3 linked regions of the Caenorhabditis elegans genome follow. The protein of the gene in region 1 interacts with the protein of each later gene in a biochemical or structural test. Each region holds a gene or a part of one and is shown in the gene's direction. Other genes may lie near its edges.

Region 1 (5,372 bases):
TGGAATTGCTCAATCCTGAGGAAAATGTGCAAAAATTGTTTTCAAAAAATGCAGAAGTTGAAAATTAAGAAAAACTAGTGAAAATGTTTCAAAAAAATTAAATTAAAGTTGAGATTTTTCGAAGTTTCTGAGAGATTTGAAGCCAAATTAAAAGCGTTTTTCTGAAATTTTTCAACGATTTCGTCTATTAGCACTACTACAAATCATTCAAAAACCCCCGAAAAAAAACAGAAATTAGTTAAAATTGACTTTAAATTCTAGAAAATTCACAAAAACTACAAAAAATTGGAAGTTTCTGAACAATTTTCAGCCATTTTTACTCCAAAATTTTGTTGAAATCGTTCAAAAATCAGTTTCGGTTTTATTTTAGCAAAAGTGTTTTTTTTTTGCGGAAATTTGATAGAAAAATTATTGAAAATGACTGAAAATTGGAATTTCAGCAAATTTTCGGTGTAAAAATTTTTCCGAAATCCAGCAAAAAAAAAAACGAAAAAAAATTATGGTATTTATGAGAAATTTTTTTTTTGCCTAATCTTCAAAATTTCAGGTCAATCACTGAAAAAACGCCAAATAACACTTGCCGAATACCTCCGCCATGTTCGTGACGTGTCCCGAGAGCAATTTATCTACCGAGCAACAATGCAGAAATGTCGACGAACTGCTGGTCTTCCTATTTAAAATTTAAATAAAATTTGGATTGAAAATCGTGGAAATTTTTGAGAAAAAATTGCTAATTTTTTGACCAAAACTGGAAAATCGTGAAAAATTGTCCATAAAAATGCTAAAAATTCGATAAAATTCTCGATTTTTGGATGAAAAATACTTTTTTCAATAAAAAGTGGGAATTTCAGCGATTTTCTGACGAAAAACTTAAAATTATTGCTGAGAAATCGAGAAAAATGCATTTTTTTAAAACGATTTTAGCTAAAAATTCCATATTTCATTTATTTTCCTGATGAAAAATTGTTTAACATCAAAATTTCGGTGCTTTTCCGTGATTTTTCAAGTTTTTTACATGTTTTTCCGTTAAAAATTCACTTAAATCTTCTAATTTCAGCCGAAAATTGTAAATTTCAATAATTCCCGTTAAAAATGATGGAGCTTCTATTGAAAATTACCTCGAAAAAAGCTTTCTTTTTTTGACGATTTTCCAGCCGAAACATGTAAATTACGACGAATTTCAGTGACTTTTTTGTCAAAAAAATTACGGTTTTCACTCATTTTTCCATCTTCTCATTTCAAAATTTCTCCCATTGCCGCCATTTTTCTCTAATACTCCCTTTCTCTCCGTCTTGATGCCCGTTGTGATTTGGTTTGTTCTCTCTCTCTCTCTCTTTTTTTCCGTTTTATAGACACAATTTTCTAGATTTTTCCCCATTTAAAATATCCAATTTTGCACCCATTTCCCCATTTTTCCCGGGGGAAAAGCTCGCTTTTCTCTCGAAATTCGATGACTTTTTCAGGTTTTTTGTTCATTTATTTTTTGTACAAAAATTTTAATTTAAATGTGATTTTTCCCCCCATTTTTTTCTGATTTTTTCGCTCAAAATACCGTGATTTTTGGCGGTTTTTCAATATTTTTGATAGATTTTTTTTGTTGCTATTTTTAAGCCAATTTTTCCAGCTTTTTGTGCTTGTGCTCGCGGAGCTCCCCACAAATGCAAGCGATCAAATGTGTCGTCGTTGGTGACGGAGCCGTCGGTAAAACGTGTCTCCTGATATCCTACACCACAAACGCATTTCCCGGAGAATATATTCCGACGGTGAGTCATTTTTAAAGCAAAAATTGAGATAAAATTACGTTTTTTGGCTCAGAAAATAGGACATTTTGACACAAAATCGAAAAAAAAAAACAAAGAAATTTAGGCAAAAAATATTCAAAATTGTTGTATTTTGATCCAAAAATCATTGAAATAAATATTTTTTTAGGCCAAAAACTGGGAAAAATAGTGAAATTATCAATACTGAAAATCGTGAACATTTTGATTTATAAAACATTTAAATAAAAAATAATTTAAATTAAATTTTTTTTGCTAAAAATCGTTTTAAAAAGTACATTTTTTTAATCAAAAAAATAAGTGAAATTTCACTGAAAAGTATGAAAATTAAAACTTCCGTTTTTTACGGAAAATCTAGACAAAAAACTTTTCAAAATGCGATAAAAAAGTTTTCTGCAAAAATCGTTTTAAGAAACACATTTTTAGCGAAATTTTGCTGAAAAATATGAAAATTGTCAACTTGTTCCCATAAAAATCAATAAATTAATATTTTTTATACCAAAAGCTGGGAAAATGGTGAAATTTCATATAAAAATTGGTATTTTTATTTGAAAAAAAAATGTCGAAAATTTCAAAAAACTTCAGTTTTTTTAAACGGAAAATCTAGAAAATTTTGATTCAAAAAACTTTTAAAAATGCAATAAAATTGTAGGCTTTTTGCAACAAAAAAATTGAAAATTTTGAAAAGCGCACAATTTCCCGCAAAAAATATGAAAGGTGTCTTCTTTTTCCCAAAAAAATGCTTTTTTCCCATAAATTCAAATTTTTTCCAGGTATTCGACAACTACTCAGCAAATGTGATGGTCGACGGTCGGCCGATAAATCTCGGGCTCTGGGATACAGCTGGACAGGAAGATTACGATCGGTACGGGCAGCGGGAAAACTGAAAATGCTCGAAAAAACTCAGGATTATGGGTTTTTTCAATAAAAAATTGCTCAGGATTATGTGATATTTTCCTCAATCAAAATGTGGAAAATATCACATTTTAGAAAATTTCATCCAATTTTTCATAAAATGACAGTGATTTTGAAGCTATTTTGTGGTGAAAAACTCGAAAAACATGGAATTTTTCGCACTTTGCACTAAAAATTACCCCAATTATCAATTTTTCAACACCAAAAAAATTTGCAGACTCCGACCACTGTCATATCCACAAACAGACGTGTTTCTCGTATGCTTTGCCCTGAACAATCCGGCGAGTTTTGAGAATGTTCGTGCGAAATGGTATCCAGAAGTGTCACATCATTGCCCGAATACGCCGATTATTTTGGTTGGAACGAAAGCTGATCTGCGTGAGGATCGAGATACTGTTGAACGGTAGATTTTTGGAGAATTTGAGAGAAAAATTGAGGAATAAAGTGAAAAATTTGTAGAAAATGATGAAAAATTGCCAAAAAATTCGAAAAAGCGCATAAAAATTCAGAAAATCACTTAAAAATTGAAGGAATACCGCCAAAACATTAGAAAAATCATTAGAAACGGCAAAAAAATGAGAAATAAGGAAAAAACGCATCAATTTCAGGAAAAAAAATTGCAAAAATTGTATGAAAAGTTGCGTAAAATAGCACAACATTCACATAAAATTTTGGAAAAAAATTTGCAAGATTTTGAGAAATTTGCTCAAAATGTTGAAAAAAAAATTAAAATTAAGATAAATCGCTAAAGAAATGTAAAAAGTTGCACTAAATTCGCATAAATTGTGGACAAAAGTTTGAAATTTTGAAAAAAAGCACATTAAACAAAATTGGCTTAAAATCGAGAAAACTTGCAAAAATTCCGAAAAAAAAAATTTTTTTTGCAGGCTCCGCGAACGCCGGCTCCAACCAGTGAGCCAAACCCAGGGCTACGTGATGGCAAAGGAAATCAAGGCTGTCAAGTATCTGGAGTGCTCGGCGCTCACGCAACGTGGTCTGAAACAAGTTTTCGATGAGGCGATCCGAGCCGTGCTCACGCCGCCACAAAGAGCCAAAAAGAGCAAGTGTACGGTGCTCTAAGATGGGGAAATTGGAGCAAACAATCGCAGAAACTACAACAATTTTAACTATATATATACATATATCATCTGGATTTTTTTTGTTTTATCGATGAATTTTGCTGTGAAATTACCGGTTTTTAGGGAGTAAAAATTGGCAAAAACTGAGCATTTTTAGGCAAAAAACTCGCCGATTTCCGTTCAAAGAAATGCTCCAAATCGGCTGAAAATTACTATTTTTTTTAACCGAAAATCGGCCAAATTTCCACTGAAAAAGCTCAATTTCAGCCGAAAATTTCTCGATTTTTTTCCAGAAAATTGTCCAAAATCTGGGCGTTTCCACTCTCTAAATCTGAATTTCCAGCACACTTTTTCTCATTTTCCCCCTCTATTTTTATCTCTAAAAATTTGTTTTGTATCAACGATTTTTCATCTTAAACTCGCTGTGATACTTTTCTTACTTATCCACCCCAATTTTCAGCATATTTTGTGCTCATTTTTGAGCCGAAAAATGCTCAATTTGTCCATTCATAATTTTGTGCTTTTCCCCTTTTCCCACCTGAAATAGGTCTTTTTTCATCTGAAAAATTGAATAACTTTTCCCCAAAAACCACAAGTGCTTTTTCCTCTCTAATTTTTATCGGTTTATTTTTTTTATTTGAAATTTCTTCGAAATTTTTGTGAAATTTCTTCGAAAAATCTGAAAATGTTTGGAAATCTCTACGATTTTTTCTAAAAAATGTTCAAACTTTTTGGAATTTGTTTGAAAAATTATTTGGAATTTTTCTGAAACTTTTTTTCAAAAACTTTCGATTTTTTTTTGTAATTTTTAGGACACAACGAACCCTCTCTCCACAACCAAAAATCCTCTTTTTTCTATTGTGAATTTGAACAACAAACTCGGCTCTTTTTCCCTTTTTTCTTACTTTAATTGTTAATTTCTCTTCTTTTTGTCCAACTTTTATTATGCTATTTTAATATGATGATATGATATTTTACCACACTTTTTTTCTATGATGGAATTTTAAATTTGAACATTTTTTGATGGAAAAATTGGAAAAAAAAACAATTCGAAAAGTTGCAGAGATTACAGATTTTTCTGAAACTTTCGATCAAAAATTTCAGATTCTGAGTTTTTTTACATTTGTTAATCGGACACAGAAATGAATGAAAAAAATCCTAAAAAATTTCCGAACTTTTGTTTTCTCGGTGGCCTAGAAAACCTAGATTTCTAGGAGTTTTCTAGTCCCCGGGCATTGGCCACCCAGCAAGCACGTGTGTGTGTTCATTGATCGTTAATGTGTGGGTTGACGCTGAAACTCTTGATCCCCAAAATCACTTTGATAAATCTTTTCAAACTGATTTTTTCCGATGAATCTCCAATCCATTTTCTGCTTCCCAAATACGGAACTTGAATAGTCAACGGAGTTATAAGAGTACTCACTAAGGTAGCGATTACCACAAAAGAGCACCCACAAGAACCATGTAACAACTGGATAGTGCTAAATATGATTGGGAACTGAAAACTGGTTCAAAAAATAAAATTGAATTACATCGAACTAAATACCGATTCAAATATTAGCGCAGTGACTGCCTGCCAGAAAATGTACTTTTGCAGAAT
Region 2 (4,594 bases), on another chromosome or scaffold:
TATTTTTCATTAAAATTTAGTGTCAAAATATAGGATTGATTGATCTGAAAATAATTTTTTAGTTGAAAAAAAATCCTTAAAAGTTGTCTGAAAGGTGAAAATTGCTGGAATAAATCAGACAAATTATTGACACTTTTTTCCAGCAATTGGCAACTTTCATGCAATTTTTAATCATATTTTCACATTTTCAAACTTAAATGAAAATTATTTTCTGATTAATAAATTATTTGTTATATATTTTTGCATTAAATTTTGATCTGTTTTGCCTGTTGAACTAAAATGCTCTAGTTCAGATACAAGTAGTTTCAAAGAATTTGAGAGATTAGATTATAAAGACATCTCAACAACTTCTAGAGCTCACAACAGCATCTATTGAGTTCAATTGAAAAATTCAATTTTGGAGAAGAAAGGATTTAAACAGAATTATCTATATTTGAAGTGTTGCTAACATACTTCTTGTCATCTGTCGCCTGCATCGTTTGCACCTGCCACCATTACCGCCATCTCACGTCGTCGTCTTCTTCATGTCTTCTTTCTTATTTTGCCTGTTGTGTCCCCGGCGGTCTGTCCGGTCCATCAACATCCGTCTGCGCGCGCAGTGACCCTTGCGTTCTCTTTTTACGTCTGCGTCTCTACAGGACACTAGCACTGTCTCATATGACCAGCGGTCTGCTACAACGGCCGTTAGCCTCCCATAACAATTCGCTTGTCTCCCGCTTTCGTACGCTATTCCCGGAGCGGTGCCCACCCCAATGGTTGGGCCCTCTTGAGAGAAATAGTTCGTTTTGGTAGCTCTTCCTTTTCTTCTTCCTTTTCCACGATTTTCGCATTTTCACACCCAACGATTTGTAATGCGTTGTGCAACTAATAATTGAGACTAGATTCATCACATCTTTATTTGCTTATTTTATTTTATGCAGTGAAGACATTTGAATAATGCATACTTCCTGAAAAAGTACGTATTCTAGTGAGAAGATCTAATAACGTTTCGCAATGTTTCGACCTTTTCCATCCTATTTTTAGCTGCTTGAGTATAGAATTTCTTCAAAAATATCAATGAGTCAGTCATTTTAAAACAAACTTTAAAATTTAGTTTTAAAAATTGGCAAGACCATTTTGACCAAAATTTGGCAAGAGATTGTTTAGACTAGGGTCAAATAGAATTAAATTAGCTCAAGCCACATGTTGCCAATTTCCGATTTAAGCCATTTTTTTCCGGATTGTTTGAAATATTTTGTATACCAAACTTGTTCCAAGAAGATGTTAAGCTATATGAAAAGCTTCTAAAATTGTAATGCACTTATTTTTAAATGTTCTGGAAAATTTTGTTTTTTCCATAATAATTAATAATTTTGTCTCGATTTTTTCTTTGATTTTTAAAATCTTATTTAGTGTGATTTTCCATGATTTTCGAGCAATATTTCATCAGAAAATTTAAATCGAAAATCAACTTTTTCTCTCTTTTCAATACGCACTCTATTTTATTTTCTCAAATCTCTTTTTTTGAAAGAAATTTAAAATTCTTTGAAAACTGTCATTTTTTCAGATAAACGGGTTCTCATCTGATCGTCACAATACACACACAGACATTCAGAAGCACATGATTATTTTGAATTCAAGAAGAGTCGTCAAATTCGCATAAAATTCCTCCATCAGTTATGGGCGATTATGATGGAAAAGTGAGTTTTTTCAGTTTCATGGTGGCGGCAGCGGCAACTTGTGAAAAAAGAGGCAGAGATGCCGGCGCCGTAATCCATTGAAGCGATTAATGCGGAAAACGAGTGCAAACTGTACGATTTGATAGAGAAAAGAATACGTTTTTGTTTTTCGAATGTTCCGAGAAATGTCTTTTTCATCAAATTTTTAAATTTCAAATAATTTAATTTTGTTTTGTTAATATTGCCCAGACGCAAAGTTTTGCGATATTTGCAATAAAAATACGGTATTCGGTCTCGATACTACAAATTTTTGATGAGCCTTTAAAGATTACTGTAGTTTAGTTGATTATTGATTTTTTTCTCTATATTTGTTTAAATTTATGTGTTTAACAGTTTTTTTGTTGTAAAATTGTTCCGATGAAAAATTTTTTTATAAATAACAATGAAAATTGATGAAAATTCCGCAAAAACCAAATGCTAGAGATTACAGTATTCTTCAAATAAAATTTTATCGTGTCAAGACCGGGTACCGTATTTTGATACAAAAATCGTTAAATTTCGCCTATGAGTAGTAGAAAAAATTAACACCAAAACAGCAACTAAAAAATTTAATATAACTTTAAAGTTTTGCCAAAATTGAAAAAAAAAATTTCCGAGATCTCTACTCTTTTTCACGACTATAAATCTTGATTAGGTCCAAACTAAAGAAAAATAAATCATAATAATTGATGTATTACGATTACAAACCTTCCCAGACAATTGTTGAAAAGTGTAAAATGAGTTCATCACGTTTTTGAAATATGTTATGAGTCAATTGTTTTGTGTCACTCATTCCGAAATTCGGTGCTCTCCCGGTGCTCCTGCTTCTTCTCACCCATTATTTCCGGATAGATCATGAGATGGAGAGACGCAGATAGCACGATAATAGTGACCGGTTGTGTAAAGTTGTGTGAGAAAAGAAACGAAATAGTGGGAGCTTATCAAGCTCTTCCCTCAATCCTTGAAACAGATGGTACTCTCAAAGAGTGCCTTCTCGATTAGCACCAATCTTACTACTAGTATGTTGTTGTTCGAGACAGGATTATGACCTCGAGAAGCGAGGAAAATGTGAGAGAGAACGAATACCAACAAAAAAATCCGAATAGTGTGTGTGTGTAATGACGGCAGTTTATGGCAATCGGGGAAGACATTGAGAATTGTTGTAGTGCAAAAAATTGGAGGAAAAAGAAAGAAAAAATGAAAGAAAATCTCTTGTGTGCCGGGTTTTCTTTCTTCCTTTTTCGTTTTTTTTCGTGTTGGTTTGCCTTGCAAGTAAACTAGTCAACTTCAAAATACTCTGGTTGAGCTTTTACAAAAAGTTCTCTCAGTCTTTTTTCTTTCAAATACAAATTTTTCTGCCCAATTTTTTCACAAAATAAACAAAAAGAGCCAAACTTTTATAGGTAGTTTTTGAGTACATTGTACTGATTATTTTAATTTAAAATCAATGATTCTAGTTTGTTATCTCTATTTTACAGTTTCATAAAATTTAAAAAAAGTAATGTACAGTGAATGATTTCAAATTTTTCTTTCAGTATTGGCCATACAAAAATGAAAAAATACAAAAAATAAAAAAATTTTATAAAACCTAGATTTCCGTTTGACATTTTCTTTTTTATTCCAAGTTTTAGTGCAAGTTCAGCGAAAATTCGCCCCCTGCGACTTCACCATTTAGAATTCGAAAATTTCAAAATTTGGTGCCCGCTTCTTGCCCAGAAGTTGGCAAAGCTTAGATTGATTTAGACTGCGCCCAAATCCAGCCCAAACTTGATCCAACTTTTGACAAACTCTAACCCAAGTTTAAAACCACACAAGAAAAGTTGGGCGCACCCTAACCAAGTATAAGTTTTGCCCAATTTTTGGTCCAAAATTAGACAAGAAGCTAGCCCTAAAAATCGAGTTAGTGATCGCAGAACTGTTATCTCTGACTCTCTGCTTTTCCTCCAAATCAACAGTCATTTTCCATTGCCGGGGGCCGCGAACAGCGCACTAACCATTCCGTCCGTCCGTCCCAATACACGAAAAAGTCGATTAGCAGATTGAACTTGGTGATAAACTGCAGTGCAATGTGACCAGCCCCTTTTCGTTCCACTCGACTCCCCCCCTATTCCACTCTTCGGTGTTGTGTTGCCTGCGTCTCAACGCTCTCTCCCTCTATCTCACCCGTTTCCTCTGGTGGTGAATTGAATTTCGAATGGTCCTTCTTTTACGACAAACACTGATATTTTTTGGAGCCACTGCGAGCTTTTTTTGGTTTTCTAAGATTTTGGTTTCATGTTCCCGGACATTTTGAACTTTCAAAAATAATCTCAAAAACTCTATGAAAACTTTTGATTTTAAACAATTCGAAAAAATTCCAGATGACGATGAAAGCAGAAGACATTCTGCATGTTCTTCGTGACGGCATTGCAGTACTTCCTGGAGGACGATGTAGAGCCGGACAAGCAGTTATCGTATGTCCATCACGAGAGCAACCTGTCAATCAGGATAATTTACGCAATGTCTTTCTGTATTTATTTGAAGTTACTTCGTAAGTTTTTTATTTGACTGAAATGGAACAACCACACTGTGAAAAAACAAAATTTATAAAAAGATATTTCAAAAAATTTATTTCCATTTTTCAATTCAATTACTTAACAATAAGCCTAGCCTAAGCCCACAAAACACAAATTTCAAAAAAACCAAACAAAAAATTGAATTTGCAGGAAGATGGCACGCGAAAAGGGATTCCTTGTGGTAATTGATATGCGTGGAAAACAAACATGGACCAATGTTCGACACATTCTGAAAGCTCTCAGTGTATGGTTTTTTTTTCGTTTAAAAAATATGGATTCCTACAAAAACAACAAAAAACTATATACACTTATAACAGCCAAAAATAGCGGAATATCCTTTAA
Region 3 (6,614 bases), on another chromosome or scaffold:
TGTCGTGTATATGTGTGTGTGCGTATGTCTGGTTGTGTGTGTTCTTCTTCATTTGACCGCTATCGATTGATTTTATCTCCAACGACATCCTCCCCTCATCCGTCCGTTTTGCCCCTCCGCAGCTCTTTATCAATTGCCTTGGCCGCATCATCCGCGACCCACCGTACTAGTTATCTTTCTCTGTTTCCTCCATTCAATTGATAACACTAGAAAATGGCGCGCGTTCAACAAACACAGTGCCATTCTCCATTTCTAGCAAACAGTCCAGGTTTCGAACTGTTTTTTTTCTACATTGTGCAAAATGAGATTGGATTTCTTATCGACAGTGTAATAAAATCTTAGATACCTAGATTTTGTTTCTCATTTTTCTTTTTTTTTTTTCTTTCGGTTTTGTGATTTTCCTTTGGGTTTTTGCAGGTCTAGATTGTAAATATTCCCAAATTAACAGATTATGTAATGAGGATTCTCAAAAAATGTTCAACAATTTTTTATGGCGGTCTGAAATTTTAAAAACACCTAATTTTAATTAAAATTGGCTATTTTTTCATGTCTCAGCTGTTGGAAAATTTATTTTGAAGATTAGAATGTTTTTATTGCATATTGGTGATTTTCTTACATTATTTTGTTAATGAATGTACATTTAAAGCCCATACGTAATTGAAAATGGCCACAATCAACCCCCTATGATTTTTATGAGGTCTCATTATTAAATTTGTTCCTTTATGAACATTTTGAGTGCTTACAAGTAAAAACCCAAAACCGATACCCCTCCTTTAATCGAGAATAGTATTAGACCAAAAGTATCATCATTCACCGTTAGTATGAATGCAAACTTTTCAGCTTTTTTTCGGCTTTCACTTTCTAATTTCCTAAACTAGTTCTCAACATTGTCACTCACTCCGAACCTCGTTTCACAGTTTCTACTCTTTTCGGCTTCACACTTCTAGAACATTATCCGGCTGATTGCCACTTGGATGACAAGCGGGAAACAAGTACGCGAACACACGGTGGTGGGCGATAAAATGAAGTGAAACATGAATGACTCATATCATCACACTTTAAAAAAGATTCCCGTCTCTTCTTTTTCTCCTTTGAAAAATATTCCTTCTTCTTCCTCTGGCCCAGTTTATTCACCATCCATCATCTCCTAAACTTTGAAATCTTTCGTTTTGAAAACCAAAAAGCCATCTATCTTTTTCGGGTCAAACTCACGTCAGACGTTGGTTGCAGATAGGCTCTTTGAAGCAATAATGCAAATGAGAACTCCGAAGAAAAGGTCAAATTCTGGGTCCCACATTTTCCATAACTCCTACCCTGAGATTACTAAAAAAATATAGAAAAGCAATCCAATAGACGACCTCGAAAGGCGAAAGGGCCATGCTTTTTCGGTCCAAGATTACTCATAGCACTGGGTCAATGTCCTCTTTACACCATGTGTTGTGCATCCATTTCCCTGCCCGCTCCTATCAATTTCCTCTTTTGTTAGTCATAGTCCAACAATTTTTTTATAAGGGGGCGGTCAGCAATTTGTTCTTTCTTTTTCTGATTCTTTATTGTGATCGTTTTTCTATGTTTTTTTGACTCAACAAAACATGAATATTGGTTCCAATTTTCCTATTTTTCCAACAGTTTCGATTTCACTTGACAACGAAAATTCCTCCTAATTATTGTTTTCCTTTTTCAGTTTTACATTGCATACTGTATTCCTTCATTCTTTTTTGGTTTGATGCTTGTGTCTTCTTTTTCCAACAGTTTCAATTTTCCAGGCTTGCCAAAATGAAAGCTTTCTCATCGTATGATGAGAAACCACCAGCACCACCAATTCGTTTCAGCAGCTCGGCAACGAGGGAGAATCAGGTAATTAACTCGTCCCTCCACTCCTCCCCAAAGATGGGCGACAATCTTTCGAAGGTTCTTCTTCCAAATCAGATGATGCATGTGTTGCTTGCCCCTCTCCCACCCATCTCTATTTCTCTTTTTTCCATTCTCCATGTCTTGACTAACTCAATTTTTCAGGTCGTCGGATTGAAGCCATTGCCCAAAGAGCCAGAAGCAACCAAGAAAAAGAAGACGATGCCTAACCCGTTCATGAAAAGTAATATATTGCTCTTGTAACCATTCCTGATTTTCCTGTTTTTTTCAGAGAACAAAGACAAAAAGGAAGCGTCAGAAAAACCAGTGATCTCTCGACCGAGCAATTTCGAACACACAATTCATGTCGGATATGACCCAAAAACCGGCGAATTTACGGTCAGTATTTTTTCAAAAAGTTTTTGTAGCAGTTTTCCCACTCTTGCGTTACTTGCAAGATTATTTTCCAATGATGAACGAGTGATACAGCTGTCATTCTGACACCGGTCGCAACCGCTAATCGTACCAGATTAACGTGAATGCTAATAGTAAGCTAAAAACTAAAAACTACTACTTTTACTTTTTCCCTCAGTCAAAAAATCATTATAAACAAATCTCAATTTATAATAATATTTTGCAACCGTTAATTCAGTGCATTATCTTCTAAAAACGTGTTATTCTTGAAACCATGGTTAGTGTTAATAAAGCTTGCGTTTTTGAGACGTTTTAAGAAAACAAATCCATACGAGAAAAATTTAAGTGAAGCCAATTATCACGAACATGTATTCAACCAAAGATAGTTTCTTCTAAAGACCTATGAAATTGTCCCAATTTTTTTAGTATGAAGAGGTCTGTTTTGTCGAATAGACTTGAGAAACTACTGTAGAATCTTATTTATAAACTTTTCTCAGAAACTTTTGCTCCTTATCAACAATATAAATTTTCAGGGAATGCCTGAAGCATGGGCACGTCTTCTCACAGACTCACAGATCTCAAAACAAGAGCAGCAACAGAATCCTCAGGCAGTGTTGGACGCGCTCAAATACTACACACAAGGCGAAAGCAGCGGCCAGAAGTGGTTGCAGTACGATATGAGTAAGTAACCCGTAGTCAGTCTTGCTAATGGAGCTCATTCTTCTACAGTGTTTATAGATGACGCACCTTCTCGGACGCCATCATACGGACTGAAACCGCAACCATATAGCACATCATCCCTGCCGTATCATGGCAATAAAATTCAGGATCCAAGAAAGATGAATCCAATGACAACCAGTACAAGTAGTGCGGGGTATAACAGCAAGCAAGGAGTTCCTCCGACGACGTTTAGTGTAAATGAGAATAGATCGAGTATGCCACCGGTAAGTGGGAAGAATAATCTTGAAGTTCATATTGATTGCTTCAGAGTTATGCACCGCCACCGGTCCCCCATGGTGAAACTCCTGCTGATATTGTTCCTCCCGCTATCCCTGATAGGCCGGCAAGGACGTTGAGTATTGTGAGTAGAATTTTTGGTACTTGTGTATTACATGCCCTTAGTTTTAGAGTATTTTTTTAAGTTAAAAACAATAAAAACGTGTACCACATTTTTTATTTCTAGGTTTAGGAAATAATCTTTCTAAGCCTGGAGAGGAAAAATGTATATCACGTTTAAATTATATGGAGAAATGAATGAAAATTTAATTCAATTTCAAAATGAGGGCATGTAATACACAAGTACCGAATTTTTCCCAAGTTCTCTATAACATATAAGTATATTTTCAGTACACAAAACCGAAAGAGGAGGAAGAAAAAATTCCAGACCTTTCAAAAGGACAATTTGGTGTACAGGCCAGAGGTCAAAAAGCTAAGAAAAAGATGACTGACGCTGAAGTGCTGACTAAGCTCCGTACCATTGTGTCTATCGGAAATCCAGATCGAAAATATAGAAAAGTTGATAAAATCGGCTCAGGTGCATCTGGTTCTGTGTACACCGCTATTGAAATTAGTACCGAAGCGGAGGTGGCTATCAAGCAGATGAACCTGAAGGATCAACCAAAGAAGGAATTGATCATTAATGAGATTTTGGTGATGCGTGAGAATAAGCATGCAAATATTGTAAATTATTTGGATTCGTATTTGGTGTGCGATGAATTATGGGTAGTGATGGAGTATCTTGCCGGTGGATCATTGACTGATGTTGTCACGGAGTGCCAGATGGAGGATGGAATTATTGCAGCTGTTTGCAGAGAAGTTCTTCAAGCGCTTGAATTCCTCCACAGCCGCCACGTCATTCACAGAGATATTAAATCTGACAATATTCTTTTGGGAATGGATGGTTCGGTGAAATTGAGTAAGATTATAATTTTTAATGCTTTTGCAACCTACTTCTGTGAATTTCAGCCGACTTTGGATTCTGTGCTCAGCTCTCGCCGGAGCAAAGAAAACGCACGACAATGGTCGGAACTCCATACTGGGTGAGTGATGGAAATTGAAAAAGCGAATAGGAAATTAATGTTTGACAATTGCAGATGGCGCCGGAAGTGGTGACCCGCAAACAATACGGACCCAAGGTTGATGTGTGGTCCTTGGGAATCATGGCGATTGAGATGGTCGAAGGAGAACCGCCATATTTGAATGAAAATCCACTCAGGGTATGAAATATTTGCTTTTTTGAATTTAAGAAGACAACGCTTGATAATTGAAAAAAAAAACATGAATCTGAATATATGATTCCTTTCAATAACACTTGTGCTCGCAGAGTGTGAATGAGAAATGGAAATTTGTTGTTACAGCGATAAATTTGTTGCTTAATGAATTTCAAAAAAATCTAATTGGCCACTATTCCCTAGTAAGAATAGCAACCCCAGTTTTGCCCATAACGATCAGAAAATAATTTGGTTCAGGTTGAGGTCATGTTATTGAACAGGCGCCTAAGAAAAAATTTAGCAGAAACTTTACATTTTTCCGTAACTTCTCAGCTAACTTTAGCAACCAATCTCAAAAGTTGCAATAGTTGGGTAAAGTTGGTAAAAGTTAGGGATGACCCCCACCGCAAGATACAGATGTGCATTGAGAACTACCGAAAGCTGGGTAAACTTTGTTGAAAAATCGCTTAAGTTGAGAAGATTGAGACGTTGTTGAGAAGTTGCTGTAAAATGACGAGAAAGTTAAAGTTAAAGTTGTTTCAGCTATACTTAGGTTTTATAATTTTAGCTTAAAATTTCTCATCAATCAATATTGATCTTAAAAATATTTTTTTTCAGGCTATCTATCTCATTGCTACAAATGGCAAACCCGACTTCCCTGGAAGAGATTCCATGACTTTGTTGTTCAAGGTAAGAGAACTCGAGAACTTTCGAAACAGAAGATTTGATAAAAAAAATATTTGTTAACAGTTAGTCACAAATGTACAAAAGATGACTCAACTGCTACCGCAGTTTTACTTTACTTTCAGTACAGTATCAATTTCTCCCATTCTGTCCCAATTTCCAGGACTTTGTCGACTCTGCGTTGGAAGTACAAGTTGAAAATCGATGGTCGGCAAGCCAACTCCTTACGCATCCATTCCTCCGATGCGCCAAACCGCTTGCTTCACTGTACTACTTAATCGTTGCGGCGAAGAAGAGCATCGCCGAAGCTAGCAACTCATAATTATGATGATTGTATTCTCAATACACGACGTGTATTTCTTGTTCTTCTCAAATCTCAAGTCGTACTTACTTTGAAACTGTTTTCTTTTCTCTCCATCTCAAGTCATTTCTAACTATCTACTTTGAGCCCAACTTACCGTTTCCCAACAAAAAAGTCACACCTTAGTAATTTGTGTAATGTTTTCTGGAATCGATCACGAGTAAAAATTCAAGCCCCTTCATTATTTCACATCTTCCCCCTCTTTATCTCTTCTCGCAATGCACAATTTGGACTATCTCTTTTTTCTTGTTGTTGAGCGTTCCCAATCAGACGACACACTTCAATTATTTATGTAAGTTTTTTGTCTTCACTTTGTCTTCTTTTCATTCGGTTTCTTGCATTTGTGTCGTTCGAACGGAAATCTACAGTTAACCAGCTTTGCCCAAATTTCCCTATTTCTTTTTCAAGTGTCTGTAGGTGGGAACTATTGAAACTCTGTTTTCATGTGGTTTCCAATTTAAAAATCGGCCATAAGGTCAAAATCTTAAATTTTGTCTCATGACGTTTGAAACAATTGATCATGTTTAATAAAAGAGAGATGAATTTACTTATAGAATCAGAAAAGTTTTCAAAATAGTCAAATTTTGTTCAAGGAAATTGTACTATTTTCTTTTGAAAAATTATTTATTATTATTCCTGACCAGGTACATGGTATAAGGTAGTTTACCTCAAAAATTAGAAATGATAAATAGTTCATTTGAATGATTATGTTTAGACTATATATTTTATTCTAGAAATAGTTATTCTAGTAATTGCAGCAGCACAACTCAACTCCCACCACCACAATTTAGGTATATCTGAACTTTGTTGAGAGCAACTGTGCTAAAGGACACAAAAGTTACTCCAGAGGCTGATAATGTTGTCAGGCTGATTATTGATAATTTTAAAGGTTTTCAAGAACACGCACAACATATTTTAGCAAAACTTAAAAAATCAAGTCACATAACAAGTTGAATATGTGAATAATCCCTGTGAGTATTCTGGAACTATATTTTTCACCATAATAGTGATTGAAAGTTTCAGGAGCTTACAAATGTTTCATAGTGCTATAATGCCACTTTTTTCATATTTCTTATTGAAAACTAAAATCAAAA

Evidence for each region. Proteins that work in one complex are often made in the same cells at the same time.
Region 2: of the proteins of ced-10 (region 1) and unc-73, one has a biochemical effect on the other in vitro, tested with the Caenorhabditis elegans proteins (2 studies listed by BioGRID).
Region 3: the proteins of ced-10 (region 1) and pak-1 interact in far-western blotting, tested with the Caenorhabditis elegans proteins (one study listed by BioGRID).

What each region holds. Positions count from the first base shown.
Region 1 is NC_003282.8:3,505,780-3,511,151, reverse strand, and holds ced-10 (Ras-related protein ced-10), read left to right. Parts: upstream 1-1,624; 5' UTR 1,625-1,658; coding exon 1,659-1,763; intron 1,764-2,043; exon of another isoform or gene 2,044-2,193; intron 2,194-2,551; coding exon 2,552-2,643; intron 2,644-2,910; coding exon 2,911-3,096; intron 3,097-3,580; coding exon 3,581-3,773; 3' UTR 3,774-4,824; downstream 4,825-5,372. Other genes in the region: tsg-101 (Tumor susceptibility gene 101 protein), read left to right, coding at 548-678; srz-83 (Serpentine Receptor, class Z), read right to left, coding at 5,037-5,270, 5,319-5,372. UniProt on the Caenorhabditis elegans protein: Required in engulfing to control the phagocytosis of apoptotic cell corpses. Required in embryonic development for the correct positioning and orientation of the mitotic spindles and division planes in blastomere cells.
Region 2 is NC_003279.8:4,028,692-4,033,285, reverse strand, and holds the start of unc-73 (CRAL-TRIO domain-containing protein), read left to right. Parts: upstream 1-1,546; 5' UTR 1,547-1,658; coding exon 1,659-1,679; intron 1,680-4,057; coding exon 4,058-4,227; intron 4,228-4,402; coding exon 4,403-4,496; intron 4,497-4,594.
Region 3 is NC_003284.9:6,043,761-6,050,374, reverse strand, and holds pak-1 (Serine/threonine-protein kinase pak-1), read left to right. Parts: upstream 1-1,770; 5' UTR 1,771-1,776; coding exon 1,777-1,857; intron 1,858-2,016; coding exon 2,017-2,095; intron 2,096-2,143; coding exon 2,144-2,250; intron 2,251-2,798; coding exon 2,799-2,946; intron 2,947-2,994; coding exon 2,995-3,209; intron 3,210-3,253; coding exon 3,254-3,346; exon of another isoform or gene 3,347-3,495; intron 3,496-3,612; coding exon 3,613-4,180; intron 4,181-4,230; coding exon 4,231-4,304; intron 4,305-4,358; coding exon 4,359-4,481; intron 4,482-5,093; coding exon 5,094-5,165; intron 5,166-5,322; coding exon 5,323-5,481; 3' UTR 5,482-6,066; downstream 6,067-6,614. UniProt on the Caenorhabditis elegans protein: Required for hypodermal cell fusion, together with cdc-42 and ced-10, leading to embryonic body elongation, which involves dramatic cytoskeletal reorganization.